Linked DNA regions of Caenorhabditis elegans. The protein of the gene in region 3 purifies or fractionates together with the protein of the main gene of each other region. This does not show direct contact. Each region holds a gene or a part of one and is shown on either strand. Other genes may lie near its edges. The genes, in order: R04E5.9, rab-14 and galt-1.

Evidence for each region.
Region 1: the proteins of galt-1 (region 3) and R04E5.9 fractionate together in Caenorhabditis elegans (co-fractionation; one large-scale study listed by BioGRID). This does not show direct contact.
Region 2: the proteins of galt-1 (region 3) and rab-14 fractionate together in Caenorhabditis elegans (co-fractionation; one large-scale study listed by BioGRID). This does not show direct contact.

What each region holds. Positions count from the first base shown.
Region 1 is NC_003284.9:8,804,666-8,816,166, forward strand, and holds R04E5.9 (uncharacterized protein), read right to left. Parts: upstream 6,478-11,501; 5' UTR 6,329-6,477; coding exon 6,324-6,328; intron 6,268-6,323; coding exon 6,172-6,267; intron 6,124-6,171; coding exon 5,908-6,123; intron 2,506-5,907; coding exon 2,428-2,505; intron 2,376-2,427; coding exon 2,256-2,375; intron 2,208-2,255; coding exon 2,204-2,207; 3' UTR 1,993-2,203; downstream 1-1,992. Other genes in the region: R04E5.8 (JmjC domain-containing protein), read right to left, coding at 1-153, 332-480, 527-588, 637-690, 793-1,440; Metal transporter cnnm-2, read left to right, coding at 7,525-7,593, 7,642-7,712, 8,007-8,079, 8,123-8,238, 8,285-8,411, 8,959-9,064, 9,113-9,204, 9,257-9,378 and 8 more.
Region 2 is NC_003284.9:15,601,842-15,610,956, forward strand, and holds rab-14 (Ras-related protein Rab-14), read right to left. Parts: upstream 4,795-9,115; 5' UTR 4,776-4,794; coding exon 4,670-4,775; intron 4,524-4,669; coding exon 4,279-4,523; intron 3,787-4,278; coding exon 3,668-3,786; intron 3,605-3,667; coding exon 3,442-3,604; 3' UTR 2,794-3,441; downstream 1-2,793. Other genes in the region: ent-2 (Equilibrative nucleoside transporter 3), read left to right, coding at 296-390, 477-989, 1,039-1,124, 1,169-1,483; Protein nipi-3, read left to right, coding at 6,131-6,712, 6,766-6,962, 7,092-7,443, 7,491-7,671, 7,723-8,378.
Region 3 is NC_003283.11:5,926,800-5,936,363, reverse strand, and holds galt-1 (Beta-1,4-galactosyltransferase galt-1), read right to left. Parts: upstream 5,460-9,564; 5' UTR 5,441-5,459; coding exon 5,316-5,440; intron 4,990-5,315; coding exon 4,644-4,989; intron 4,602-4,643; coding exon 4,446-4,601; intron 4,349-4,445; coding exon 4,239-4,348; intron 4,190-4,238; coding exon 4,110-4,189; intron 3,892-4,109; exon of another isoform or gene 3,795-3,891; intron 3,770-3,794; coding exon 3,601-3,769; intron 3,555-3,600; coding exon 3,452-3,554; intron 3,190-3,451; coding exon 3,001-3,189; 3' UTR 2,929-3,000; downstream 1-2,928. Other genes in the region: M03F8.5 (Glycosyltransferase family 92 protein), read left to right, coding at 1-106, 160-474, 1,076-1,518, 1,564-1,654; srsx-17 (G-protein coupled receptors family 1 profile domain-containing protein), read right to left, coding at 5,947-6,111, 6,318-6,514, 6,562-6,666, 6,819-6,952, 8,001-8,129, 8,177-8,255, 8,585-8,717. UniProt on the Caenorhabditis elegans protein: Catalyzes the transfer of beta-galactose from UDP-galactose to position 4 of alpha-1,6-linked fucose at the reducing end GlcNAc in N-glycan cores.

The DNA.
Region 1 (11,501 bases), on a different chromosome or scaffold from region 3:
TCGATGACCCCTCTCCGTAGTCAACATTGACCGATGGACTTAACGAAGCTTCTGGACGGAAAACTGGCGATGGTGGATTGCTTCGAACTTCATTATCAATGATCCAGTAACGAGGGGCTGGTGGCCGATCCATATTATGTGGGATGGAGAACTCTGAAATAAATAATTTCATAAAATGATATAAAGATAGAAGTTTTGATACATAGAAGATGAGTCTTTTTTTAAATAAAACTATTCTGGGTATCATACTTAACAAAATAAACAATTTTGCTGCTCAATTAGTCAGAGAAAATTGCAGCCTAGTCAAAGGAACATCAAGTTATTAACTCACGCTTTGTGCCGTTTGCATCTTCTCCATTCATGTAGAAACGGTATCCGGATAGCAGATGAGACCGAACTTCAAAATCATCAAATCGGAAGGTTTTTGCTGCATTTGCAACTACTCGCAAAACTTGCTTGTAATCTTCTCGTTCGAGATGCCTGCAAAATCCATATATCCTTTCTACTCCTTCATTGTAAAACCTACAGCTTTTTCAGCTCTGTGCTTGCAAGACGCTCGGCATATTTTCCGTACTCGCGACTTCCCCACTGAAAAATTGTAAGTTTGTAACTAGAATTCATAACCGTTTAACTTACGTCGTCGTTATTTCTTCCAGGTCCCTGACTTATGGAGCGGCGACCGTAAGGAGCCTGAAAAAATATTTTGTTAAACCAGTAAACTGGAAAAATTGTTTATATAATGTTCTCAAATTTCAGTTACGAAAACTCAATGATATCAAAAAGAGAACCTACCGGACGATGAACCATTGGACGACGTGCTCTCAATGCTCTCCGATCGTGACTGTTTAGACGTGGTGGTGGTGGTGGAATAGGCGACGGAGGAGTCCTCGGCGGATTCCGTGGCTCCGGAGACGGAGGAGTTCTCGGTGGTCTGCGTTGCGGTGATGGTGGAGTCATCGGTGGTCTCCGTGGTGGAGGGCTTCTTGGCGGGGGTGTCCGCGGAACTCTTGGTGGCGGTGGGGGTGGCGGCGACGATCCCCCAGCTCTTGATTTCCTGGGTGGTGGAGGAGGCGGTGGACTTGCTTCATGATCACCGTGTTGTGGTGCCGGCACTTGGTGGCCTTCCTGACCAGGAACAGGGTATCCAGGATATGCATAGGGGTGTGGATGCTGAAGATGATGTGGATGTGCAGGCGGCGGCTGGTGAGGATGTTGATATGGATATGGAGGCGGATAACCCCCGTACGTGTGAGCAATGGAAGCCGCATGAGCCATGTAGTTGTGATTATAATGCATGGCCTGGAAGTTTGATGGCGGTACCAAGTTAGCTATGTTTTCGGGGTAGGGATGATGATGATTCTCTGGATAATGATATTGATTGTTTCTTGGCGGGTTGAAATATCCACCGGACGATGAGCCCGGTCTGTCGTGTCCGTGCATTTTCACCTGAAATGAACTTTATTTATGATATGTACATATTTTAAAGCATTCAGAGAGTTTGAGAAAATTAAAAAAGGAGTATAAATGGTACACTCGAAAATTGAGCAAGAAATACATTCAGTATTTGGAACAATGAAGTATACACGTAGGTATCAGTAAGAGATGAGAAGAGTTGACGGGAGAGAAAGACAAATTTTGCTGTCGATAAAAAAGGCGGAGCAAAGCAATGCGTTGCCATGAGATACCCACTGTGAGCGCACGCATCGTGGCCATTGATCCGTGAAAAGGGAGAAGAACGAGAGTTCTGACCGAGTCACGCCGCGTGCAGCGACGACGAGCCCTTCTCATCTCTCTATTCATCTTACACACGGATCACGTTGGCCCCGCCGCACTCACCAGCTCACCAAAACCGGCAGTCTGAAAAGGAGCGAACAGAGAGGGGAGGCGCAGACAGGAAAATAAAAGAGTGTGCGTGTGAGCGGCGATCGAGTAGAGAAAATGAGTAGAAGAAAAACAAGATGGGCGCGAGTCGGTCGCATTAGAGGAGGGGGGGGGGGGGGCGACGGCGGCAACATCGACGGCACAGGGCCTCGTGTTGGCGCAGCACGGCGTCGAAGACGTGGTGTGCATTCAAGGAAATGAGCGTGGGCACAGGGTATATATGCTGTTTTTGTTTGTGTGTGTGTGTGTGTGTGTGTGCAATGAAAAAGACTATGCGTAGAGGGCGGACCAGTCGTGTTTCACGCCTCACATCATCTCGAAGTTACCTGAAAATCGAGGGAACATTCTAAAAATAGAAGGCTTAAGAAGCAAACCAAACACTGCGTCGTTCGTTTGGAAGGATTTTGTTTTTGGTGAACGACTTTCTTGCGGTATCAGTTGGAGCAAGAACTTTTTCCTGAGCGAAAAGGATTTGATCAAGAATGTTCGACGGCCTGAAAGGGGATTATTGTTATAATTTAGCATGATAAAAATTTGGCATCTCACGTAGGCTTTGCAGGCGCAGGAGGTGGAGTGGGAACTTTATCTGCACTTGGGACCTCATCGACCACAATGACATCATCGCTGAAATAATTAAATGTTATGACATGTTTGGGGTAAGCATGATTTTGGCTTTTAGAATAAAGATTCACAAAAAAATCGGTGCTTCCCTCGACAATTATTTTTCTGTAGCAAGTATTGTAATTGTGCTTTAATGATTAAAATTGTGTAGATAAGAGAAGACTGACGATACATAGCTCTCAAAAACGGTAAGACGTAAAAGCCGAAAATTCGTGAATTTCTTTTTCCATCAAAGAAAGGAACCCGGCCTTCATTCCGAGATGACAAACTTTTTGGTGGCAAAGGTTCTTTGGGGGCAAAGTATCCAAGGAGACAAAGGATCCAGTAGACAAACTGGGGTGTATCTTGGGGGGCATATCTTTGGTGACAACCTTTTTTTCAACTAGATTTTTATATGTATTTTTCAACTAATTTTTGTTCAAATTTTTCTGGAATAAGTTTTTTAATGCAATTTTCAATCGATTATCGGTTATAATTCCCTCACAATTGAATGTTTGAACGATGGTCTTTTGGGAAAAGCTGTAAAACGTCCAACTAACTTGGAATATCGTGAGGCTCTTCCTGATGGTCTGATCCTTCAGCTCCGAAGGATCACATGGGTACCTTCTGATGTTCTGATCCTTCAGATAAGAAGGATCGTAAGGGTACCTCCTGATGGTCAATTTTTTCAAATTTTTTTTCAAATTTTGTCAAAAATCCATATGATCCGTCGAAGCTGAAGGATCAGAACATCAGGCAGAGCCTCATGTTCTTTTGGAGCTGAAGGATCAGAACATCAGGAAGAGCCTCATGATCCTTTGGATCTGAAGGATCAGACCATCAGGAGGTACCCTTACGATCCTTCTTATCTGAAGGATCAGATCATCAGAAGGTACCCATGTGATCCTTCGGATCGGAAGGATCAGAACATCAGGAAGAGCCTCGTGATCCTTTGGAGCTGAAGTATCAGACCATCAGGAGGTACCCTTACGATCCTTCTTATCTGAAGGATCAGGCCATCAGGAAGAGCCTCACGATATTCCAAGTTAGTTGGACGTTTTACAGCTTTTCCCAAAAGACCATCGTTCATACATTCAATTGTGAGGGAATTATAACCGATAATCGATTGAAAATTGCATTAAAAAACTTATTCCAGAAAAATTTGAACAAAAATTAGTTGAAAAATACATATAAAAATCTAGTTGAAAAAAAGGTTGTCACCAAAGATATGCCCCCCAAGACACACCCCAGTTTGTCTACTGGATCCTTTGTCTCCTTGGATACTTTGCCCCCAAAGAACCTTTGCCACCAAAAAGTTTGTCATCTCGGAATGAAGGCCAAGGAACCCCGTATTCCCTGTTTTCTGATGCACTTTGTGAATACGATCTGATCATAACATTTTTTTGAAAAAAGTTGTTTAGTTAATTGAATTGGAACTTTATCAATCAGATTGAGCTTGACATTCAGACCAGGGAAGGACAGCTAATGTTTTGGCTTATTCCAAACATTGCATTTATCAGCAAGGTTTTCTGTTATTCTAATAAATTCTATATGAGAATTAAAGAAGAATTCTTGTGCAACATTCATCAAGTAACAACTTTTAAAAATTTACGTTTTTTTTTTCAAAATTCAGGATCTGATATTCAGACCTCGAATTTTCCTAAACCCGGAAGTGATGTAATATATAATTTCAGAGCGCTTGCCACGTCACATTGAATTATAGGCTCACGAAAAGAAAAACGTCACGAAATATCGGTGTTTGAGATTGATGGATACCATTCATCATTTGCGTGCTCCCAATTTTCTGTGCGCTAAAGCTCACGTCATTTCATTTCAGGCGATTGCCTACGAATGTTAAATAAATGGTTGTGTTCCAACTCTACTATCTTCATGAATTTGTAATGAGACAGGGACTGGAGTTGTGCTGCGAAAAACAATCGCCCGCTATAAACTGAAACTGCGTATAGGTGTAAACAATTTTTTATCATCGTTTGGCTATTAACAGTCCGCAAATATTAACAATTAATTTAAATAAGCTCAAAAAGAGAGAGAATAAAAGAGAGAGAAAATTTCTGGGTTTTTTCTCAACAAGCTCAAAGTAATACTACAAACTAAAATATTGAAACAGATATCTTGAACCGTTATTCCTTCTTTGAGCTTTTTTTTCTCAATAAACCTCAAAGAAGTTTTCTATTCGTCAGTTAAATATATTTTTCCAGGCCACCTTTTAATGTTGAAAAGGATGTATCTGCAGAAAACCTATAAGTTCGAGAGTTATGAAAAATGCAACATTGTTCACAGAAAGTCATCATACTCCGAATCACAGAAATAGAAAAATTAGTAGGCGATCAGAATATGTGAACGCTAAGCTATGATTTTATTAGTCATATTCAAAATTAAAAAATACTGCGTAATTTTAAGCTATATTTAAACTCTTGTGGCGCTTCTTCTGACAGCAGAATTTTAAATGCTTACAGATTAACATGATTATGTAGACATAAAAATTTCTGTAGTAATTTTATTTTCTGTATTTTGAGTGATTGTAAAAATTTGAAAACAAAAAATACATGTGACAGCAATCGAAAATAGATTCGTGCTGCTTTCCTTTTTCTCGTGAAATCAGCCGTCACGATGTAGTAATTTTTGAGTGAAACTTCGATGAAGAATATAATTGAAGTCAATTGCAGAATATATGTATGTTTCGTAGGATTTCAGTTTTCTTTTTGACAAAAAGTTAAATTGTGCAGGAAGTTGTATCTTTGCTGCATTGCTAAGCTAAACGTTTTTCTTTTGAATTGGAATTAACTTTCGATAAACAGTACGAGCCCCTCCACATATAATTTTTCGGAAAACTGTTTTCTTCGATACATTTCCAGTAGTTATGGAAAGGTTTCTGCTTCTCGTTTACCAGAAGATAAAATTAACTTCTGTTAAACAAGCATAGTTTTTTAGAAGCAGGACATTGGGTGATAGTAGAATGACGACCGATTCAGAAGTCGAAGTGTCGGTAAATTCAAGTTTCAACTAGATTGCGTCACTGTTCAAATAGTGCAATGCCTTGCACGGTATGAGCATCGCCAGAAAAATGCGACTGACTACCAGAACCACAGTGCAGCAAGCTTGAACATAATGTCTTTATGTATTAGCCCTCAACAATTTTTCGAGTAGGAAATGACCGAACTACAAGCGTGTTACTGCCCTTCGAAAAGCTGATATCTGATCACCGTACCCTAACGTTGGACGACACTGCTCATATGCGATTGGAAGAAAACCAGTGAAAAATTGATTCCGATATGATTTCGGGAGCATGCGACGCATTTGGCTTTGGAGTTCAATAATTCAAGTTTTTAATGTCACATTTCTATTATCTCTAGCATTACTGATTTTTTTTTTGAGAAACTACTTTATAAATTCTCAAAAACTTACTTTTGGCGAATATGAAGCTTTTGTTCCTTTTCTCGCCCGTATCGCTTGACTCTTCCAATACTTTCCCCTTTGTCTAACGATTTTGATGTGGTTTTCCGTCGTCGTTTAGTTCCTTTCCTTCGCTTTGTTGCTCCTGTCTTTGACTTTCGAGTCTTCCTTTTCGTTTTCCTGCCTTGTTTTCTCACGATCTTTGATTTTCTCTGCCGAGCAGCAATTCTGAATAAAAAAAAGTAAAAAAAGAGCTAACTTTCCTGGTGTTCTTACTTTGGAAGTTCTGGCAGATCTCCATCTGGTTCATCGTCGCCCAGCACATGCGCATCTTCCTCCTCGAAAATCGGTTCTTCTTTTTTGATGAACTCTCTGAAAGAAATAAGAAATGTTAATTTGAAAATTTAAACATTAGAGGAAAAACCTACTTCATACTCTCGGCGTCTCCACTACTCGAGCCAAAAATCGATGCAGGGTACGCACATACACACACGCACCGCAGGAACACAGAAAATAGTTGGAAGCGACCGCGTTGCGTCCCTCTCCCTGCGCGTCGCGTGTTCAGACACAACGAAGACACACTCTCTTTTTCACACACTCTCTCGCCAATGCCCTATAAACCCTCGCTTTCTGCCACACACTCACATTTACAAAAAAACAGAGAGGACGACGGGACGCGCGCGCACGTGAGATAAGGCGGACAGAAAAAGGAAAAATTGAGAATGGCGAGCTGGCGATGAAAGCAAGATGTTGACGTGAGGGTTGATGAATTTTTGATACGAAAACAATAATGATCGGGATGAAGTAGGGGACTGGCATTTTTTGTCCCGAGAAGATGTATTCTGGGCACTTTTCATTAAATTTTTCTTCCTTAAACGAACATGACAAACGAATATTGATGAGAAAACTTCTAGAGCATTATTTAAATTACTTTTTCAGCGTAAAAGAAAAAAATTGCAATTCCCGCGTTCATAGGACAACAAACCTTCAGCGTAGACACGTCTACTGCCCAAAAATGTCATCAAGAAAATAAGGGATATCAAAAATGATGATAGAACTGGAAGATCGAAATAGTCTAAAAAATGAAAGTTATTCGCTGTTCGTCATGCCAAATGAACATGAAATGTTGTGACAAAATTACAAAAAAATATAAGGCTGTATTTTTTTTAATATCCCGAAATTTTATTTCAGTGGAAGTTATTGGATTTGCTTTGAATAAGTAGTCACATCATTAATGAACGTTCAACTAAAATAAAAAAACACCAATACTCATAGATTATGCTTTAAAAAAAAGGAGAAACCAAAAAGTTACTTTCCTATCCCAAAACAAAAGATATCTCCTATGAACCGGCAAAAAGCATTACTGGAGAAAAAACGAATCATATTTTAAACAAAAATTTCTGACTGGATGCAAAATTGATAAAACACTTCGAAACCTGTCTTTAGCCTGTCACATGCAAATTTTGATTCTAGACACCCATAAACTGAAAGAGCCCCAAAACAAGCATTCATGTCACATAGACATGAACCACCTAGATTGTTATCAGTGCCCCCTACTGATACGCACTTTCTTCATTTTCACCACTCGTTTATTCATTATCGCCACCACACTATACCACGTCTAATTTGATGATCATTAAAGTTTTTCTACGTTTACTTTTGCTCTGTGCACACATTGTATGCATAGACGGAAAACTGGTGAGAAATTTCGTAAAGGAAAACAAAAAAACATTGATGGAAATTCAGGAAATACGGCCAGTGGTATCAGGAGTTCGGATTGAAAGCGATGTAGACGCGTCAGGATTTTTAGGATATGGGTAAGAAATGAGGAACCTTCTAATACACAGTACAACTTGCACTAAAGTAATTACAAGTATTTCATACGGAATGCCATCTTTTTTATTGATTGAAAGGACTACATTGTTCAATTAAATTCAATTGCATGTTTTGACATAAACGTGAAGCTTGTATATTGTCATAATGGCATTTCATCTGGGTGTTTACATTACTTTAGAATAAAGCTTCATTAGAGAAAATTAGATAATGCACTAAATACAATGGGATAAAAAATACCAGACGAGGGTGTACGACAAAATGTAACAAAATTTCAGCGATGCTGGAGAGTTATTGGTGGAGGCAAACACTGAAGTGGATCTTGTGATTTTTGGTCATGGACTAGAAAATGTATTTATCAGCCTATACCAACTTTTCCACATTCTGATTTCAGGTTGAAATGGTGACATTTACTGATTCTGTCTGCGTGACATCCGAGTTTAATGTATCAGAAAGCACCTTCTACATTCATAAAGATATGAAAATAGTCTTTAAATATGCTTTCGTAGCGTAAGGCAATTATTTTGAACTCGTTAATGCTAGTTGTAAATTACAGGTGGCCCCAGCCATGGAGAATTTGTCTAAAATCAGAGTGTCATGGACTAATACAAATCGATGACGATAGAACCTGGATTCAAGCTGTCCAGAGTACTCATGAAACTTTCATGCCTGTTTGGGCTCAGGTAAACAACCATGAGATGGTTATTAGCATTTTTCCTTAAAATGCCAAATTTCAATTATAGATCAGTGTTGCAAATGTTTTAACGTCTACAATGTTGGTATATAAATATATTGAACACAATTTAAATAAAAAACAAAGCAAATTATTTTTTTCCCGACGACTGGTACTTGTGTATTATACCCCCGCCATTAAAAAAATAATTTTTTAACTTATAAATTAAAAACCTGTGAAATTCTTTTGTATTTTTATGCTTAGGAAAACACCATTCCTAAGGTTTACGAAGAAAATGGGCATCACGTTTAATTTTTACGGATAAATTAATTGGAAATTTGATTAATTTTTAAAATGGCGGGGGTATAATACACAAGTACCCGACGACTTCTAAAAAATTGATAAAAACAGAGCTTTCAGTGCTTTTTGATTAGAAATCACTTTTACCAATATTTTTGAAAATGTTTTGGCCACCCCATAAGCCGTAGTCCACCTTCAAATGCTTTCGAATTAAAAAATTGTAAAACTCTTACCTTCGTTAAACTAAAATATTTCAGTGCGCAATTTTATGCCTACTGTTCTCCATATCAGCACTGTGTTCCGGATTGACATTGGGACTAATGGCTTTGACACCGCAAGAACTTAGTATCTTGATGAAATCAGGTACTGTTTTATTATTTATCAAAGACCAAATTTTATGTGAATTTGCAGGATCACAAAGAGAGAAAAAGCATGCGGCAGCAATTTACCCAATTAGATGTCATGGTAATCGGTTACTGTGCACTGTTATTATTATGAATGTTGTGAGTTTTGTTAGATTTAACGTCAACTTATTTTTTTTATTCAAAATTTAAGATTGTCAACACTGGAATTACACTTCTTTTCGATGATTTGGCAGAAGGTCTGATAGCTTTTGTAGCTTCCACAGTTGGCATTGTTGTTTTTGGAGAAATTCTACCGCAGAGCATATGTGTGAAGTTAGATTAATCCAACATCTTTTTAAACATGATTCCACTGATTTTAATAGTATAATTTATAAAAAAACATTTAAAGTTGTTCAATGTACCGGGAAAAGGTTTTCAAACTTATCCCTATATCGATTTTAATCAACTTACCTGCGGGAAACTAATTTTCATTCTATTCTGCAGATTTTGGTCGCCTCGCAAAGATTTGTTAAGTTTTGTACATTCCCAGCAGATAGAAAATTACTAGTTTTCCTAATTCAGTTACCTACCAATTTGAAAATTGTGCTAAAAAAATCTCAAATCTAAAATCCAAGAACCCTTACTGTCCCGTTTGATGGAAAATTTGCAAAATTTTAGGTATGGATTGGCAGTGGGTGCTAACACAATTTTCATCACCAAGTTCTTCATGTTTCTCTTATTCCCAATAACGTGGCCACTTGGAAAAGTAAAAATTCCAGAAACAAGAAACCAGAAACAATAAACCAAGTTTTTCGCAGATTCTCGACAAATATGCTGGTGTTGACATTGATGTAGTGAATAGATCGAGGATGGTAGAAATGCTCAAAATGAACATGGAAAATGATGCCTGTGATATTGTACGTTTTAAGATAACGGGATAATGCTTTAATTATTTTTTTAAGGATTTATCTACTCTGAAAATAGCGATTGGAGCAATGGAACTAACGAAAAAGTCTGTACGCGACGTTATGACTGATATTGATGTTAGTTTGAATAATTCTCAAAAATTCTAGAAAAGTTTTCAGGACGTTTTTATGCTGTCTGAAGATCAAGTTCTTAACGCTGAAACGATGACAAAAATTTCTGATTCCGGGTACACCAGAATTCCAGTTTTTGAGGGAAACAACAGGAATAAGGTTGCAGTTACTCAAATGTAGTTAACTAAAATTTTTAATGCTTCTAGGTGAAAAACTTATTGTACGTTAGTGATTTGGCATTGATTGGGAAGGACAACAATATCACAGTGAAAGCAGTAGCCAGATTCAACAAGAGACGGCTGAGAATTGTAGATGAAAGTATGCCATTGACAGCTTTGATGGATGAGTTCAAATTGGGAGATTATCATCTTGCAATGGTGGCTAAGGCTACGGAAGTTAAGAAGCATCACCATGGAAAGTTTGCGGATGGTACAGTAGACAGCTTCATCTTGGTATGTTTTGGTACTAGATGAAAGTTCGGGGTAAAATATGGATTATGTTTTAAAAAGTGATTATGAACACTTTCTGAAACATATGTATTTTGTTTATTGCAGAAAGAAAAACAAACCACATTCGAGTAGTAGATAATGGACAGTAACTCAAACCCATTCAGATAATAAATTATAGTTTCTGTTTATTGCCCGAATTTTTTAAAATTTCAACTGTTAAAGGCAAACGTCATTAATGATTTTTCCATTTTCCTATCATGTAAACCTTATTCAAATTCAGAAATCGATGAAATTGGTGGAAGCAACCATGATGCCACAGGTAGAAAATCCAGAAGACCATCCAGTTACACTTGTTGGATTAATCACATTAGAAGACATAACAGAAGAACTTCTTCAAGCAGAGATTACCGATGAAACTGACTGTTACGTGACAGATGATGCTCAAAAGAAAAGAAGGACAAATACTTCAAAGAAAAGTGCTGCTGAACTATTTTGTAGTGAGAAGAAGAGTGAGCGTTTGTCACTTCATATGCTGGAGGCACGATAGTTCCAAATTTTAATTGAAATAAAACAAAAACATTTCAGATGACCGAAAAATGGTTGCTAGAAAAGACACCATTATTTGGAAATATGAACCCAAAGGCTTTTGAAAACCTGATTCAAAGAAATATCAGAGAGGTTTGTTAAAAAAAACAGTTCTATACGCTAAAATAACTATTGTTCAGGTTCTAATTGTGCCTCCAAAAAATAGCACGTCCCCGGGAACATTAAACCTTTTTGAAGCTGGTGTTATGAGTAAGCGATTTTTATTGATTTTGGAAGGAAAAGCAACAATCCGCTTTAATGAGGTGAGATAACAGTAGCAGTTTAGTTTTCAATACGAAGAATTTTATGTTAAGACAGACGAGCTATTTGAGTTATATGCTCTGCCATCTGGCTAAGATAGTCAGCGTTTCGTGATATTTTTAAA
Region 2 (9,115 bases), on a different chromosome or scaffold from region 3:
TGACACGCGGGAGAAGGTGTCGATTGGTTTCTTTAAGATCTACGAATTAGATTGAGAAGTTGGTATAATTATTGAAGGGGGTGTCTGAAGAAAAAGTGATCAAATATTTTTTGAAAGCGTGGTCAATAAGGTAACATCAATAAAAGTTTTGAAGTTAATTCTTGAATTGAATTGCTCCAAAATCTGAGAAATGATCCTGCCACAGTACGAACTTTCATAATGCTGGTCTAAAAAACAAGTCACAATTAATTCAAAACTTTTTTTTAAATTCCAAATATGCATCTTCAATTTTCAGGGGAGGACTTGCTGGCCGCATCACTGTCGGACTCTCCATCGTAGCTGTCTGTGTGATCACTACTATGATCTTCATCTACGTCGAAACCTCCACATGTGAGTGATAAGGACACGTGAACTTTTTTTTGCAGATCATCAAACATCGATATCTTCTTTTTTTCAACTAATCTACATACTTCCAGGGCTCACTGGATTTTTCACTCTTACCATCATCACAATCATCGTGTTGAACGGAGCAAATGGAGTCTATCAAAACAGTATCTTCGGCCTCGCTTCTGAACTTCCATTCAAGTACACCAATGCTGTCATCATTGGAAATAACTTGTGCGGAACATTCGTTACCTTGCTCAGTATGTCAACCAAGGCTGTCACTCGCAACATCCTGGATAGATCATTCGCCTACTTTTCAATTGCGTTGATCACATTGGTCTTCTGCTTCATCTCGTTCCACATCCTTAAGAAGCAACGCTTCTACCAGTTTTACAGCACACGTGCCGAAAGACAACGCGCCAAGAATGAGGAAGCAGCTGACAACGAAGGAAAGATGGCAAACTACATTGCGACCTTCAAAGAGGCTTTCCCACAACTTATTAATGTATTTTTGGTGTTTTTCGTCACGCTTTCAATCTTCCCTGGAGTCATGATGTACGTTAAGGATGAGAAGAAAGGAGGAACCTACGATTTCCCATTGCCACGTGAGTTTATCACCAAGCTGGTAAATTTAAAAAAAAAATTAAATTTTAGAGAACTACTTCATGGATGTTACCACATTCCTTCAATTCAACGTGTTTGCCTTCATCGGATCAATCGTCGCCGGGAGAAAGCAATGGGTAAGTGCCTCTGAAAGTTGACAGAAATTAAGTCTTTATTACAGCCCGCCCCGAACAAGCTCTGGATCCCAGTCTACCTCCGTCTCCTCTACATCCCATTCTTCATCTTCTGCAACTACCTCCCTGAGACCCGCACACTCCCGGTCTTCTTCGAATCCACGTGGCTTTTCATCATTGTGGCCGCATCGATGAGCTTCGGAAGTGGATACTTCTCAGGACTCTCCATGATGTACACTTCAAAGACTGTCGATCCATCAAAGGCTCAGGTGGCTGGAATGATGGCTGGATTTTTCCTCATTTCAGGAATCGTCTCAGGTCTCATTTTCACTATGGTCATCAAGTTTGTCGTCACTGCCTAAATTTTTCAAAAACTTCTAACATTAAAGACACCTCATTAGCGCAATCAATGCTCTAACCAAAAATTCTTGCATAACAAGAACATTGCATTGTATCTTATTTTTTACTAACCCAATTATCTTCCCTTCAAGGTTTCAAAATATTAATATCGTTAATTTCAAGTGCACTTACTATTAGTTTTCCTTTTTTCTATCCTTTAAATACCACTTTGTATTTCCCAAATACCTCAATCTATTAGTTGTTTCGTTGTTTTTCTTCTCTTCCTTCCTCAAGTATTATCGCAGCTCCATCTCGTTGTTTTTTTTCTTTATTCTGTTGCAATTTTTACGACTATCCCTTTTTGTGAATAAAGAATGCTTGTTAAGGTTAACATTGTAAAAAGCTGTAATATATGTTTTCAAGTTTTGGTAGTTTATGTAAGATCTCCACAAAATTATAAATTATTTGGTTAATACTATTTTTGAGTAATTATAAATGATTGTGGTATTAATTTGTAAGCCTATCCAGGTGCTGTTTTTTGAGCTTATTATACATAGTTTCTAGAATTCAATCGTTTTCCAATTCTTGTTGTTCACAACATCTATGAAAAATTAAGATCTCATAAAGATTACAAGAAAGTTTAGGCTATGCCTAAGCGCTTCAATTGCACTGGTGAAGCGAAATGTGCTTACGCAAATTTTCAAATTTCTGACAGTTTACTAATTTAGGTGAGTAACTAGAATCAGGGGTGGGCGGCAATTGCCTTTCGGCAAATTGAATTGTCGACAAATTGCGGGGTTGCCGATTTGCCTGAAATTTTCATTTTCGGCAAGTTGCCGATTTGCCGTTTGCCGAATATCAGATTTCCCGGAAATTTTTAGAGGGACTTTTTATAGAACGGAAACTCTTAAAACCGTTTTTTTTTGAATTTTTTCCGTTTTGTCTACATATTTTCATAGAATTTGCTTACTTTTCGAAATAGATGTAGGAATATTCATAGGATGCGTAAAATTTTGTCATTTGAAATTGGAATTCTAAAATTTCCAAAAAAATAAGTGCGAAACCACAATTTGCAGAAATTTTTTGGCAAGTTTCTTTTTTTCCAGCAAATTTGGCGAATCGGCAATTTGCCGATTAGCCGATTTGCCGGAAATCTGCAATTCCTGCAATCTGCCGATTTGCCGATTTGCCGGAAACAATCGTTTGCTGCCCACCCGTGACTAGAATCCCATTTCAGCCACGGATTACTCTGTCATTAGAAAAATTTACGCACACTTGAAAACACATTTGACTATTACTGGTGATGTTAACTTTGAAGATTGAGCACTTCATGCTTCAATGAATAGTTTTTTTAAATATTATATGTACAATTGAATTTTGCTGAAAAATGATTAAACAAAAAAAATAAATTTTGAAAAAGTTTTCTGAAATCATAGGTTCATAAAACTAACAACAGAGAACTATTTATAAGGAAAAGTGACAAAAATGACAAAAATCGTTAGTTTTTTTGATTTTCAAAGCACAATTATAGCACTTAATGGGGTGGGATCATATAGATGTTTCTTATCACACAAGGAATGGGGGAAAAATGTTCAAAACGGTTTTTGACAGAAAAAATCTACTAAATATGCAGTTGGTTGGGTGAGCGAAAGTGTTATATTATGAACGGTTCACAGTTCGATGATGATAGTGAGTAATGGGTGGGGGACTGAAAAAGACTGGGAATTGGTAAGTAAAAGTGACACAAAGTTCTGAATTTCAGAGTAGTTTTATAGTGATTACAAGTTTAGATTTTGACAGGCAACTAGAATTTGGAAACAAGAAACCATACCACCCAATGTTGATTCTTCTGGCATTTTAATGATAATGGGTGACAAGCTCTCACATACAGATAGACGGATTAGAAAGTAATAATTTAAAAAAATACATTAAAATCAATTGGGAATGATTTGAGGGGAAGAAGGGACTTTGCACACATCAACTAGCAGTTGCAGTCCTTCTTCCCATTATTTTCAGCTGCACGTGGCAAGTTCTGTTTTGGCTGGACGCCAGTGTCGGCGGCGTTCAAGTCCAAACTTCCGTCTTGGATATTCTGATAGATTTGCTTGGCCGTTTCGAGGAAAGCGTCTTCGACGTTACTGCCACTGAAAAAAAAGCCATTTGAAATTGATGAATTTGCAGTGGGGGGGTGGGGGGAAGAAACTTACGTCTTCGCACTGCACTCCAAGAAAGTGAGCCCGTTTTCTTCGGCGAAAGCTTTTGCTTCCTCGTATGGCACGTCACGTTGATCTTCGAGGTCGGCTTTGTTTCCGATAAGAAAGATGGCCTGAAAAAGGAACTTGTGAGAATTGGTGCTTGAATCTCATTTTTATTGTAAAATTAAATCAGTGCAAAGTGGACGAAATACTGTTTTCTTACTAATACAGGTAGATTTTTAACTCTCCAAATAAAACTAGATAACCCAATTTTAACTCGTTTTTTTTAGATATTAGTTTAACGATAAAACACACAATTTAGAGCACATACAGATTGAATGTTTTCCAGCTTAAATCTGATTCATGAGAATTTTGATTGAAATTCAGTTTATAGTCTACGATCTTTTGAGCTGCAAATAAATGTTATGCTTGCAAAAATTCATAAATTGCAATTTACTAAACATGGCGTACATCTATGTAGTTTTGAAATTTTGCTGAAAGTTCAAATTCGCTTTAATTTTGGAACTTGGGAATGCTTTTATAAAGTATAAATTCGAGTTTTTATATATTTTTCAACCCTACTTTTGAGTAAAAATTATAAACCAAGTATATATTTTACCTACCGTATTTGGATTGGTCAAGCTTTTTGCGTCGGCCAACCAGCTGCTCAAATGATTGTAGGTAGAACGGCGAGTGATGTCGTAGACCATCAAGGCTCCGGCTGCTCCACGATAATATGATCGCGTCACAGCGCGGAATCGCTCCTGGCCCGCCGTGTCCCAGATTTGAAGCTTGATCTTCTGTCCGCTGACCTCAATAATCCTGGTGCCGAATTCCACGCCGATTGTGTGCGGGCAGTCGGCCATGACTGAAAGTTAGTTATAGTTAGTTTTTGCGTTTGTTGCCCGCAGTGATTGTACGGTGGTTATTGACCGGAGGAACAGGTCTCTTGTTGATGACTAATGTTGACACAAACAACATGATATATCGATTTTCCAGGAATGCGGGACTTACACTTCTTTTCTGTGAACTGATGAAGAAGACACGATTTTCCGACACCCATATCACCAATAATAATATATTTGAAAATATACGAATAATTGTAAGGAGCAGCCGTCATTTTTATGTGTTTTTGTTACCTGAAAGTTGCGGATTATATTTTGGTTATTCGTTTCAGAAAAAAGGATACAAAAAAGTAGCAATGAGAATAGATAGACCACACAAAAGAAAGTGGCTATTAGAGACTGACTGCCAAGTTGTCATTAGTTGGAAGTAGGGGAAAACCGACGGGGAGAGAGAGACAAATGTGGAAGTAGTTGGGATAGAGAAAGATGAACGCCACGTCCAAAAGCAATAGAGAATCCATTGGCCTCCAGAAAGCTAAAAGAGGCAATGTCGGAGAGAGAGAGAGGAGCAGTTGTACGAGGAGTGCTACGCAATGGAATATCACGAGGAAAGAGACACTGGACAAAAACGGGGGCCCCTCCATTCCTCTATCTCTGTCTTCTCTGAGAAACGACGCGTCGCGTACTATCGACCGCGACGCTTGCAACGGAACTGGTCTCTACTGCGTGTCTCTAACGTCTCGCTCTCGGTGTGCGCTGTACTGTGCTGTCTGACTCTCGCCTTATGTGCCGCGTAGGAGACGGATTGGAGATGAAGAAAAAAACACGTAGAGAGACAAAAAGAGAGAAGAGTGAAATGACGAGTGAATGCGCACGTGTGTGTGGGCTCTAGCTTTTCTCCTTATTCATCTGTCATTGGTGTTGAGCCAGCTATCTTTTTCCTTGTTCCAAAGAGATCATGCTTTTTCTTTTTCATATACGTAGATGCCTAAGACATGGAAAAAACAATTATTTCCTCCTGCTTCTTGTTTTGCTCTTCAAATTCATCTTCAGAACAGAGTAAAATACTATAATATTAAATATGCTTAATAGCCTAATCAAATTGCAAATTATGACTTCAATTTCCAACCATGGCTCCCCTAATCGGTTACAACTCGTTTGTGAACAGTCTTACAGTTCTCGAGACATTTGATTTTATCACTATTCGACCATCTACCCACTCATTCTCTATCTCTCGTTTCGGTCCCCGTAGTTTCCTTCTCTGACACTTGTGTTGATCGTAGTGCCGCGATGATATTTCGCAATACCTGCTGATGCACGAGCTTCTCTCATCGCCACGCGCTCTCTTCCGATTCCTCTCGTCGTTTCTGTGATATGTGAAGAAGGGCGGTCCTCCCTCTAGTCATCTACAATGTAGTATTGCGAAATATTAAAAAAAAAAAAAACGGAAAATTCATTGTGAAACCCTCGCAGCCAGTAATGTTTCGCAATAACACCCCTTCATTCTTACCAATTCTAGGGTTATCATTCTTTGCATTTTCTTGTCTGTAGTCTACCAACTTTATCTCATTTGCTTCTTCTCCTTTTGTAACAATGTTCCCTAAACATTATTTTTTTTGTTTTTCAGGGTATGGCTCGTACAAAATGCAAAACCAAAACCGTAGCCAATCCTAGAACTGGAGTCAGAAAAACCGCAAAAGATCTTTCTGAACCAGTTCGTCAGGATGCCGTTTCAAGAAGGAGGCCCACAACTCTTCCTTTTGTTGGAAATACCTCAAGTCGTCCAAGGGTGTTTTACGATGTTCTAGCCAAGAAGAATGTCGTCTTCCCAAATGTCAAAGCAGAGTACCACTATAGAGTTCGCAATGCTCCGAAGATTGATCCAAAGAATTTTGGCACGACGCTTCCAATCTGCTATTCTTCAATCGGACCTGCAAAAACACTTGAACTTCGTCCACTGGGTCGTCTACCCCCGCACATCATCAAAGCGTTGAATGATCACTACGTGCAACTGACACGTGGATCTATGGTTCCGGCTGCGGATCTATATAACAATGGAGATCATCCAGCAGAACAACGCATACCAACAATGTTGAATGAGAATGAGTACTTGCGTTTGATCCAGGAACTCGAGGAAGAGGAGAAGTCGAAGCAGTTTTCAGCTACATCCAGCTCCGCACCACATGTGAACCCATATAGTGCCCAACACTTGGTGAGTTGAAATTAAAATTTGAAATCTTCTCATTCAAAAGAATCAATGTTAAGGTTAACGGTGAAATTATCGGAATCTTTGTCATTTATGGAACTGGTCTTGTTACTCGCGCTGTTTGCTCACAAACTCGCGAAATGTTTACCGCTCACGTGCTTCCTGAATGGAAAGCGTCGAAAGTGATTGACGTCATTCGACGACTTCAAATCCCCACCGACATCTCATCCATGACCGCTGATGAAATCCGTTTAAGGTGAGTCAAAAAAAATGCTCATATGATGAAACAAAGGGGGGATTATGAAATCATTTAAAAAGTAAAAGTCAGAATCGGGACGCTGACGTCATAAAGTCAGAAAGTTGATACAATCTTTGAATAATTCAGCGAACTCTGCATATCAAAGAGAATGGAAATTATCAAGAGTAACGACAGATACATTCTTATGAATCCGTGCGAATCGGCTACAATTCACTCCTACGCCACCGAGCGTCTTGATGAAATAACTGAAAACGACGTGATGAGTATCTACCAAAAGGTTGTGGAGATTGTTCGATTTTGTCATTCGAGAAAAGTGATTCTCCAAAACTTCAAGCCTAGAAGCTTCTACCTAAAGAAAGATGCACATAACAAATGGGTTGTTCGTCCGTGCTTCCTTCAAGACATGAGCTGTGAGGAAGATCAGTCCGAAGCGCAATTTACTCGTAGATCAGTTTGCGTTCCATTCATGGCTCCGGAGGTTTGCAGTTCAAATATTGTTCCACATTAAAAAACATAAAATTTCAGATGCTCACTGCCGAGTCGAGAACACATCATAGCTATAGCACCGAGCTTTGGGGACTTGGTGTCTTACTGTACATATTGCTAACTGGAAAGTATCCATTCCATGAGAATAGTATGCCACTGTTGTTCCGTACCATCAAATTCAAACAACATCGCTGGCCGTTTAATTTTATATCCTCCAAAAGTAGGTCAAAGTGAAAAAATTGAAATGGTTTAAACTCCGCGCCTATTTTAGGTAGAAACATTGTGAACATGCTGCTAAAAAAAGCACCAGCAACCCGAATGAATCTCGAAGATCTGTGGAATCAAGTGAATGGAGATTTCCCGGAAATTAGATGTCGTTCCAACATAATCCTGAAGAAACAGGATATGATTGTGAAGATGGACCTGTTCGAGATGTACTACAACACCTATAAAGATCGACTTCTTCCGAAAAACGTACTCCCAATGTATGAAGAAATGAAGGCTTGCAGAAATGATTCAACAATTCTCACCGAAATGGCAAAGAGAGATTTTCGCTCAATTCAAGAGCAGATGAAACGTCGAATTGAAACGAAACCAACTGAATATCAAACATTAGTGATGCAAGTTCGCCTGCAACAGATCAACCAACTATTCTTCGAGAAGGAAGTAAGCCAAGCCCAAAAGCAACATCGTGCTCCAAGACTGGTCCAACTGAAATGCAGTGATATATCGAAAGAGCTACTGCTTCCCGGTGACATTTACCCAATTAGCGAACATTATCACCCAAGCCAGCAGCCAGTTGATAAAGTCGTCTACAAGCTTCTGTCCGACGCCAATTCGCTGGCGTTTCCAACTGTTATGAAAGGGACCGTTCCGAAATCATATCCACCTCCGGTGTTCAAGGGACTTGACATATCGCCCTCCTAAATAGAACATGTAAATAGATAGCTAGCTTTCTTTATGTACTTTCCAACTTTCTGTATGTTCTCTCGCATCCTTGTAATTAACTCGTCAGAAATTCTTATTCTACCAACTTTCAAAATTCCGAATATTTTAGAAAATCTGTAATGTAATTCAAGGTCGACAAACTACCTCTATGGGTGTTTTATTTATCATCATGTCTGTTTTTTGTTTCAATCTCCAACTTCATGTAACTACTCTTATCTCATATAAGGTCTGCCAATGTGTATTCCTCCCTGTCTCCTCCCAGTCAGCATTCAAACTTTCGCAAGAAGTTTCGATACTGTAGCACTGCTATAATATACATATTCACAAAACTCTTTTACAAAACCGATAAGCCTGTGAATTATCAATAAACATTGGGTCACAAACGACGAAATAGAATTGCATTCGAGATAAGAACTTTATCATTGAAAAGTGAGCAGAATTCATTGCAAGCAGAAAGTTCGATTTCGCAACAGACACGTCTCACGTGCAAGTTGGTAATTTGAAAAAGTCATGCAACATTGGAAATTGAAAATAAAAATGAAAGTTGTTGACTGCTAGAATTAGAAATCATGGGCACTGTTTACGAGAAATATAGAAAGGGTTTTTTGGATTAATGAGGGTACCTAGGTAACTTTTTTTCCGTTTCAAGAAATTGAACATTTTCAGTAGTACAAGTTACAAGATAACTTAGCTAGCAATTTTAAAAATTTGAATTG
Region 3 (9,564 bases):
AATGAAGTTAAAAAGTTACAAAAATAACTTGGAATGTGTTGCTCAAGTGCTCAAAGGTGGACTACGGCCGGAAGCTCATACTTTTAAACTTGGAAGAACACAAAATGTACGCTTCATATTTATTTGCTTTTTTATAAATTACCGATTGTAAATTTCCAGTTCAGTCCAAAACTAAACAAGCGATTTTGGATCAATGCTGACAATTTTCTTATTACATGTTTCTCCAAACAACTAGTGATCTATCGAAAGCAATTCATGGGACTGAATATGCAAGAAAAGTTACCTCTAGTTGTGGATGGATCATTTGTAATACCTGAACCTGATTATACTTTTCACGGCGAAAAATCAACAAGATTCTCTATTTCAATTCTAGGATTAGATTCAACATCCCGAGCTCAATTCGGGAGGAATATGAAAAAGACCAGTGGCCTCTTGGATCGTCTGGGAAGTGTTGTGTTTAATGCCTATAATAAGGTTTGTGTCAATGGTATTTGAAATATAATATCTATAAAACGAAAATATTTTAAAAAAAAGTTCAATTGTGTAAGCAGTTACATATACAAACTTGTGAAACAATTTTATTAAGTTTCAAACTTTTGACTGTAGGCACAAAAATTCCCACCTACGCACTTTTTGAAGGCGATATATATATCTACGTCGGCTTAAAGATGGAGTAAGGTGAATGGGGATTTTGCTTTAAAAAAAAATAATCGGAAAATCAAAAAAAAAAATACGAAAAAAAAAGTGAAATTGAGGTTGTTTCAAAAGTCCGAACTTGATTTTTCAATTTGAAGTCACAAAAGCAAGCCAAAAGCCTTTTTTTTTTTGGATTTTTCATTCTCATTCGAGTTTTTTTCAGTTTTTTTTCGAGGTATTTCTGAATATCATACAGTTTTTGGTATTTTCTAGCAAATTCCCAAATCACGCTTCTCCTTCATCTTTTATAAAATCTGCCAAACAGAAATCGAATAACATTTTATTGATGTTTTTTCGAAATTTCACTTTCAATCAATTTCAAATTTTAAATTTTTGGCGAACGTTTTTCTCCATCCAACAAAAATATTGATTCCTCCAGGTCGGCGATAACAGCGCAGTAAACATGCTTCCCATTTTTGCCAACGAACTCCAGGAAACCGAAAGCATGTCCTTAATCGACGAGACAGGAGACGTAAATATTAACAAAATCCTACCTTCAAAAACTCCATTAAACCCGGATACAATTCAATGGATATGGAAACAGCTGCCACCAGAATACATAACAATGTACAACGACGATATTATGCACACGTCACGGGGACTTTTTCATTATCCACCTGATAATTTTCTGGGTGGATTTTCGAAACCACCTGCAAAGTTCTATTATCGTCCTTACTACAACCATTTGTACACTCAAATGAATAATTGGTGGAGAAAATGTTTGGATGGACAGTTGTTAGCGGAAGTGTTCATTGACTCGTGGTTTCGATTCGAACGAGTTTTTGGAAAACTTCCGCATTTTGGATTTACATTTATATCGAGGTTTATTTGTTCAGAAGATCTATAATGCATTTTTGAAAATTTCAGTTTGACCCATGATGACCCGAATAACCTAAATCTACTGGATAATACGTTGTATCACAGATTGGAATATTTAAATTTAATTTTCAAAAAATAATTCCGAAATTCCCTGAAATCTTTCAGAAAACAGGAAGTTTGGAAAACACAATTCTAATTATTCTTGGTGATCATGGAAATCGGGTTCATCCGCTGAATAGGTATACATTTGCTGGAAAAATAGGTAATCAATGATTTGGGAGCCGAAGAAATTGAAATATTAAATTTCAGAAGAACGAGCTCCACTTCTGAACATATTAGTTCCTCCAAGGTTTCGAAAGTTGTTTCCGGAGAAGTTTCAGAACTTGAGAGAAAATTCACAGAAATTTGTTTCGTAAGCTTTTTTGAGCCAATCTGGTAAATCTGACGTCCGGTTTTTAAAAGGGCATTTTTCATGTCGCTTTTCAGATTTTATTAACTGTGAGAAAACTGTGTCCAGTTATATTAATTAACAAGGCAAAAATCTTGGGTACTGTCAAAAAAATTATTGAAAGAACTATGTAACACCAAAAAAAAAAGAACTGGATTGCCCAAAACCTGAAAAAACCGGACACCGGTAGAGTCCGAGTTTCTGAAATTTGCTACTAATAACTTTTTTTTCAGAAACTTTCACTTACACTCAACGTTGAAATTTCTCATTAGCCTTTCCAAAAACTTGGATAGTTCGAAAAGAAGCAAGAACCTTTTTGAAGTTCAACCAACTAATGCTACATGTCAAGATAATGGTGTAATCAGTAATCATTGTCTTTGTATGGTTGATGCTTCTCAAGATATCCGAAGTAAGAACTGTGGAATTACTTTTAAACAAATTAGTTTTCAGAGCTTCCAAATTCTGAATTACTCCAAGATGTATTGAAATCTTATATGGATGATTTCAAAGATTGTTTTGATATAACTACAATCAAATGTGGAAACGTGGTATGTATGTAGTAATTTGTCTTACAATTAGGCATTCTTAATAGGCGGATGAGACGCGCCTTATCACGCCTCGGCCTGTCGAATGTCTAACAAGCTTTAAAAAATGAATTTAAAAGAATTTCAGACGGAAATGATAATGCCAAACAATTATGTCCAAGTGTGGGCTAGAACAAAAATCAGTGATAGCGAAGTAATACGAAAAAAGGAAAAAGGAAGTGCTGTTATCTACCCATACCTCGAATGTCAGTTAGAATCCAAAAATGGAGATTCTGTAGAACTGTTATCACAATTTCGTCTAATTCAAGCCACTCAAGAAGTAACAATTGCCTACCCTCCACGACTCAAAACCACTTCTCCGAGCCAATGCGGGCATTTCTCATTTTCAACGGATTATTGTAAATGTGTCGATCTCCAGCTAGCGGTGTAACAATATTTATGCATTATAGATTTGAGAATTTGACTAATAAATAATATAAATTAACAAATGAGCTACAAGTCTAAAAGACCAACAACTGAATCGAATTTTTCCCGAAGTTGATCTCCATGCCGTTTTTTCAAGAGGCTCTCGTCTTCGCAACAATACTTTTTATCCTTGTAATGATAAACCCGTAGAAGGGATCCGCCATGGGAAACCGTTTTATAGTTGTCTTGAATCACTCTACTCGTATGATGAATACCCTGTAAAAATAATTTTCTTACAAAATTTAAAGTACACAGAAAACTTCAATATGTGTCACAATTTTTTTAATCCAAGATATGCCCAAGGAGGTTAACTGTTTCTAGACGATTAAGTCCAACGCTAGTTTGAAGTTGAAACAGAGTTTTGTAAAATAAGTTGAACTAGAATATTTAATGTCTGGCAAGAGTTGGGCAAAAAAAAGGCAAAATCAAAAATCGATTGTTTGATCTGTACCGGGGTTTTCAAGTATTATAATCTCACCTGTTCAAAAACCATTTCCGGTCGAACTACACATTTCGTGAATCTTGTTTCAATTCGTTTTTCGGAAACAATATTTTTCAGTGAATACGGAGCGCTCTTGATTCTGAAAACGTTTCAAAAATTAATCACCTAGAGAACTAAAAACTTACTTTGCATTTATATACTTCAAAGCTGTTCGTTGCGATCCAATAGTGGGATCTTCAAAAAGCCCACTGATTGTTTCAAAGAGAGTCCGACTTTTGATAACGGGGACGAAGAACTCATCAAAATCATTGAAAAATGTGTATTTTGTGATTCCAGTGTTTCTCAGTAAACAATCTGAAAACTGCTTGAGTGTTTAAAGGTTGTGTGTGTGTGTGTGTGTGTGTGTGTGTGTGTGTGTGTGTGTGTGTGTGTGTGTGTGTGTGTGTGTGTGTGTGTGTGTGTGTGTGTGTGTGTGTCAACAATGATTCTTACAGCTAGAGCCAGAAAAAAATTTCGAGTGATAACAAGAGTTAAGAGAAACTAATTTGGCATTTTGTAAATGTTGATGAGTTTGTTAAGTGGGAGAAAATTTCCTTGAAAAGGCTATATTCCATTTTCGGTACTTTAGATTCGGTTAAGCGTCTGGCTCATCAATAGTTCTATTAAAACATTTCAGTTGGGAAAGTAAATTTACCAGTAACAGTTGCCAATTGCCCGTGATACCAAACACCATCCTCTCTGAATGGTAATGTGTAATCAATTAATGTTATTTTGCTGCAAGATAATTGAATCAAAAATCAAATTTTTCTAAAATCAAACTCACTGATTATCCGAATAGTATTTCAACGTTTTCTTCATGGATCCATCAAGCTCTTTTTGATTAGTGTAAATGTATATTTTCTCGATTCCTTGCAAAGTATTCAGCTCAATAAACTGTAAAATTAGTTTATTATTAATACTTTGTCAAAATTTTTTTTGCTGTATGTGTGGGTCACTACAAAAGTCCTGGCAAAGTTTTCGCAATAATCACCTCAACAATTCGCTTTGCATCATATCCATTTCCAAACAATGCTGGAACACAAATTGACATTTTATAGTCATATTCGTCTGGCGTAATTATTTTCTCATCTTGAATTCTATACCGAATCGGCACATCAACAAACTGCTTGGTTGTGCTTCTTATGACCTGAAAATCAAAGTTATCAAAATATTCCTTTTATTTTTTCACCTTTACAGAGCTAACATTATTGAAATCTATACCATCGGGTAGTTTACAATTCAAAATAAACATTTGCCACTTCATTTTGTGATTTTCCGAGAACTCGTAAAGTGATACATCTGTGGACTTTCTCCCGTTTATTTCACAGGAAAAGTTGTCTTGTGACGTGATAAACATCAGGACTCGGACATATTTGTACCCCATATTTCCATTTCGATCGTCTGTGTAGGCCGAGAATGCAAAAGCATGCTCATCAAGTTTCAGGAATTGTAGACGGTTTTGTGAGGGATCCGGTACCTCGTCAAGTAATCGACGTACATTTTTTATATCCGACTCTATCGATGCAACGTTTTCACTGCAAATTTATATAATAATTGAAATTTGAAAATGTGAGATGGATCATAAAATATGCAACATCTGAAGTTGTGACTTCCCTAATCAATCACTTGTTCGCAATCAGCGTTTGCATCAGGAAGACAATTTCCCTTGGTCTTTATTTAAGTATCATGTAACATCACTTTATAGTTTTCGCGTTAAAAATTAAAACTACAAATTTTAGGCTGAATTTTCATTGAGAACATTATTATTTTAAAAATGTTTCCTTTACACGAAAATTAGGGGATAACTGAGAAAGTAGATTTTTAGACAGTTTGACAATAACGATAAGTTATAACTACTTACTATTCATTTCCATATTCATCGTACTCCTTACTGCTTCTCGTTGCTATTGGAAAGTGATAAATAACAGTAATACAAAATGATAATGCAATTAGAAGAACTATTTTACTGGCGGTGATTCGAGGCATTCAGAAGTACTCAAGGACAGAATGTATAGTGCTATCAGAGCACTTTGTTATCAGTAACAATGGTATACACGATGGTTCCCGTCATACCAAATGTGGGAAATTACATAATTCAAATTAGTTCCACGAAATATTCATTGATTTTTCATCTACATAGATGGTGAAATGTTGATACTATTCACGTTTGATACTATTGTTTACTTTGAATGTTATAAACTCTAAGAGTGTCGTTTACAAACATTCAAGCAATGTTGCATTTTGCAAATGTATTTTGAACCTCTTATCAAGCCAATGTGTCATTTTGATCACAAACTTTACAATAAATTTTATAGATTGCATCAAAAACCGTGGTCTTTTCATACTTTTCTGGCTCCATTTCTAATTAAATAGTGTTTCAAATTTTATGCCCAATTTTATTCCATAACAGATCACAGTGAAAAAACAATAAAAACATATTATATCAGAATTAATAAAAAAAAAACAAAATAAATTGGAACGCAAAAATTTTTTCAAACAAATGCAGATTTTACAGAAGAATTCTGCCGGAACTGGGAGACCCGTTGACTGACAAAAGGAAGAAATGAGAGTTGTTCTGCATAGGCTTTAGCGTATCGTGGAGATCGAAGACCGGTTACAAAAAAGTTTTGGCAGAATGTTGGAAGGGAGAGGAGGATCTGGAAATTGTAATTTTACTTTTGATGAAATTCAAGTCAATTTTTTCGAAAAATGTTTTGAGCTATGGAAAAATCTTAGAGTTTTTTTTGGCACTTTTCATATTCAATAAAACTTTTGCTACATTAGAAAGTATGTTCTCTAAAAATTTTTCAATTTAAAAATGCACTTTATACCACCCATGGAAACTTTTTGCAAGCACACTTACATTGTACTTTTGAATTTCATACGCGACATTTTTTGTAAAATATAATGAAACGTGTGATAACAAAATGGATAAACTCCACGAGCACACAAACACAAACATCAGAGTTGACAATGACTTGAGCAATTTTGAATCTGAACATTTTGTATTGCTTGTAATACTGTTCGAGTGTCTTAGTATCCTTCGTGCTGATTCTCGTTCTGTAATGTAGAAGTATCGTTTTGAGAATATTTTCAAAAATGGATACCGTTAATATGAACTTTAAAGGCTGTTACGAAAATTAGTGAAACGGCCAGAAATATTGTTGAAATTGTGATGAGCGTACCCCAAAACCGGACTGCAGGTGGAGCAGCTAAAAAAATTATTTCTCGAAATTCCTTAAAATTCTTAAAGTAGTAAAATTAAACTAATTTTTAAAGTACCTTGTTTAGATGATCATATTTCCGTTTTTAAACAACTTGACCTAGTGCTTAAGTTGTTTCAATGCCCACTAAATCAACTAACCAAGAGTCACCGTGCAGATGAGCAAATCGTCGTGATTGATGTAGATTTCTTCTATAAAAAGAGCAAAACAGGAGAACAACATTGGCGGAATGCAGAGAGCAAACAAATATGGACCACGACGCCAGAGTTTGTGTCTGAAAATTGAAATTAAAGTGAGGAAATTAAAGTGCCAATGTGTTCGGAACCCGTGGTTTTGTGGTCTTTTGATCTTTTCGCGTTACCAACTTAAACATTGAAATATCAAATACTAGAACTAATAGTTCCTCATCAAGCACCTCTCCAGCATTCTCAAATAGAAAAATCCCTCTAAAACCAACAAATCCATCCCCTTCCGAAAAAAAAAGCTGAAAACGTCATCGCAACAACCCTTCCCACCCAATTTCTCAGAATTACACTTATTCTCCAAGATCCACACGCATTCTTCTGTTTACTGAACTGCTGGCGAGCATATCGAGTTCAAATGCACGTAGTGGAGTTGACAGAGAAGAGTATTTAAAAATTTAAAAATTCCAGGAAAAAGTAAATCATATCACAAAATGGCAATCAAAATTGTTGTGGGATGACATCACAAAACGCATTAATTTCTATTTTCAGCATGTTGATTCCAAAATCTCAAAATTTGCTATTTTTCAAAAGCATGCTTTTATTTTGTAAAAACACCACCATCAAAAGTGCACAACTTTTGAAACTATCTAGAATAGTTTGACGAGAGCATGACTTTTTGAAAACAAATCTGATTCAGTGCGCAACTCAATTGCTCGTTTCTAACTGCAAGAGAAAACTAGACGCTCCAAAATGGTCATGAACTGAACTGAATTTTGTAAGTCGGCGGCATATATGAAAAATAAAAAAGATTCTTCTACAACTAGTCTTGCAACCAATTTTTAAGTTCAGCAGCTAATATTGCGGTTTTTTGCTGTATTGTTATATTGTAAACTAACAAAAATGTTATTTCTAATTTTATATAATATTGTTAAATATTCATAGGAACCTTTGAAATGTACAAAAAACATGTCAAAATGGAATAATGGGGTGTCAAACTAGTGAAGTCACTGTCCTGGAAAAAACTAGGATTTTTTACAGTGAAAAAATTCAGATTTAGCTTGCAGAAAATCAAATAGTCTTTTTTTTGCTAAAATAGAAGCCCTCAAACTATAAATAAAAGTTGTATATAGTACTTACCGTATTGGCATAATAACTGCTAAAAAGAGATCAATTGCCATCATCAAAAACAGAGTTGATTGAAAAAGAACGGCGAACATGTAAACAATAACAGAACGAAAACATTCGTCCCGATGCGTTTGGGTGAATCTGAAAAACTACCTCTAATGAATGAAATGGAAATATATAAAGCTTACCTCAGTTTCAACTTTACACAAATAAGCTCTGAAACCAAACATATTGTATGGGCAATTGTAGATATCATGATCAGGCATCCTAAAAATCAGAGAAAAGGTACGTATTTTTTAGGATTATTTTATAATTTTTGAATGTTACGTTTCACTTCAAGGATTTCGGGATTTGTTAGTTTTGACTTTTATCTTTTATCACGTTCTTTTAAAATATCAACATTCAAAGATGGATTAGTGATTGCGAGAAATTGTTTGTGAACTCTAAAAAAAACCGATAGGAAAGCTGCAGAATATGTTCGGGAGATTTAATTTTTAAGTATCTAAAAGTAAGCTGTAGAATCCGGGAAAACGCTTAGTATTCATTTAAAAAAAATTCATAAAAATATTTTTCACACAAAATTCCTAAACTCTCACCCATTTTTGTGCGTAAAGACTTATGACGACATGTTGCTATAATTAAATTGACATTGCCAAATAGCCCGATGACACAAAGGACAACAGTGTACAACTGAAGAGCAAGTGTCAAGTCTTGATAATTGAGTGACATCTGAAAAAGATTCTAAAATAGATGAGAGGGTGAATGCGGACGTCATTTTGTATAGTATACAATTTGAAACATAATTGGCTCAATGACTTGAATATACTGAACTTTTTTGAGAAACGACGTGCGAAGATGTCCCGGAATACGAGAAAAACGAGACTGAAAATAAGCATGACGACAGAACAAGGAAAACTAAAAACAAAAAGAAGGGTGGGAAAATAATTGAGGAACGCATGTTCCAAGCTGCTTTGAAGATTGGAAATTTAATAATAATAAATGTCAATTTAAATTTAAAAAAGTCAAAAGATTAGTATAACACATCTAAAGCCGTATACAATCATGTGAGATATTTCGTATCTTGAGAGCAAATACGGCAGTTGAAAAGCGAAAAAAGAAGGATATGAAACCGTGGGAAAAACTGATAAGTGAGAAACTTATGAGATACCCGCGGTCTCAAAATTTGTATAATCGGATCCTAAGAAGCCGATCAAAATATAACTTAAATTTTTTGAAAAATGAAATTCAAAATGAAACTTTGCATGGAATCTACAAATGAATAATATTCTTCGAAACTAGGGGGTTTCTTCAGTTTGCTACTTCTCCAATCTGTTGTTTATCCAGACTACATAACGATGAATGCAACATAAATTTGGACGAAATGGGCAAAACAAAATAAATCATAGATCCATTATTCAAGAAGCTCACACTCATCTCGAAAACAAGGCACAGATACAGTTTTGGTTTTGAACTATTTTTAAGTACATATTTTTGAAAAACGAAGATTGGTAGTTTAATTCTAAAGTTAGAATTAATGTAAAAGAAAAAATTATAAATTAGAAATTTTTAAAATTTT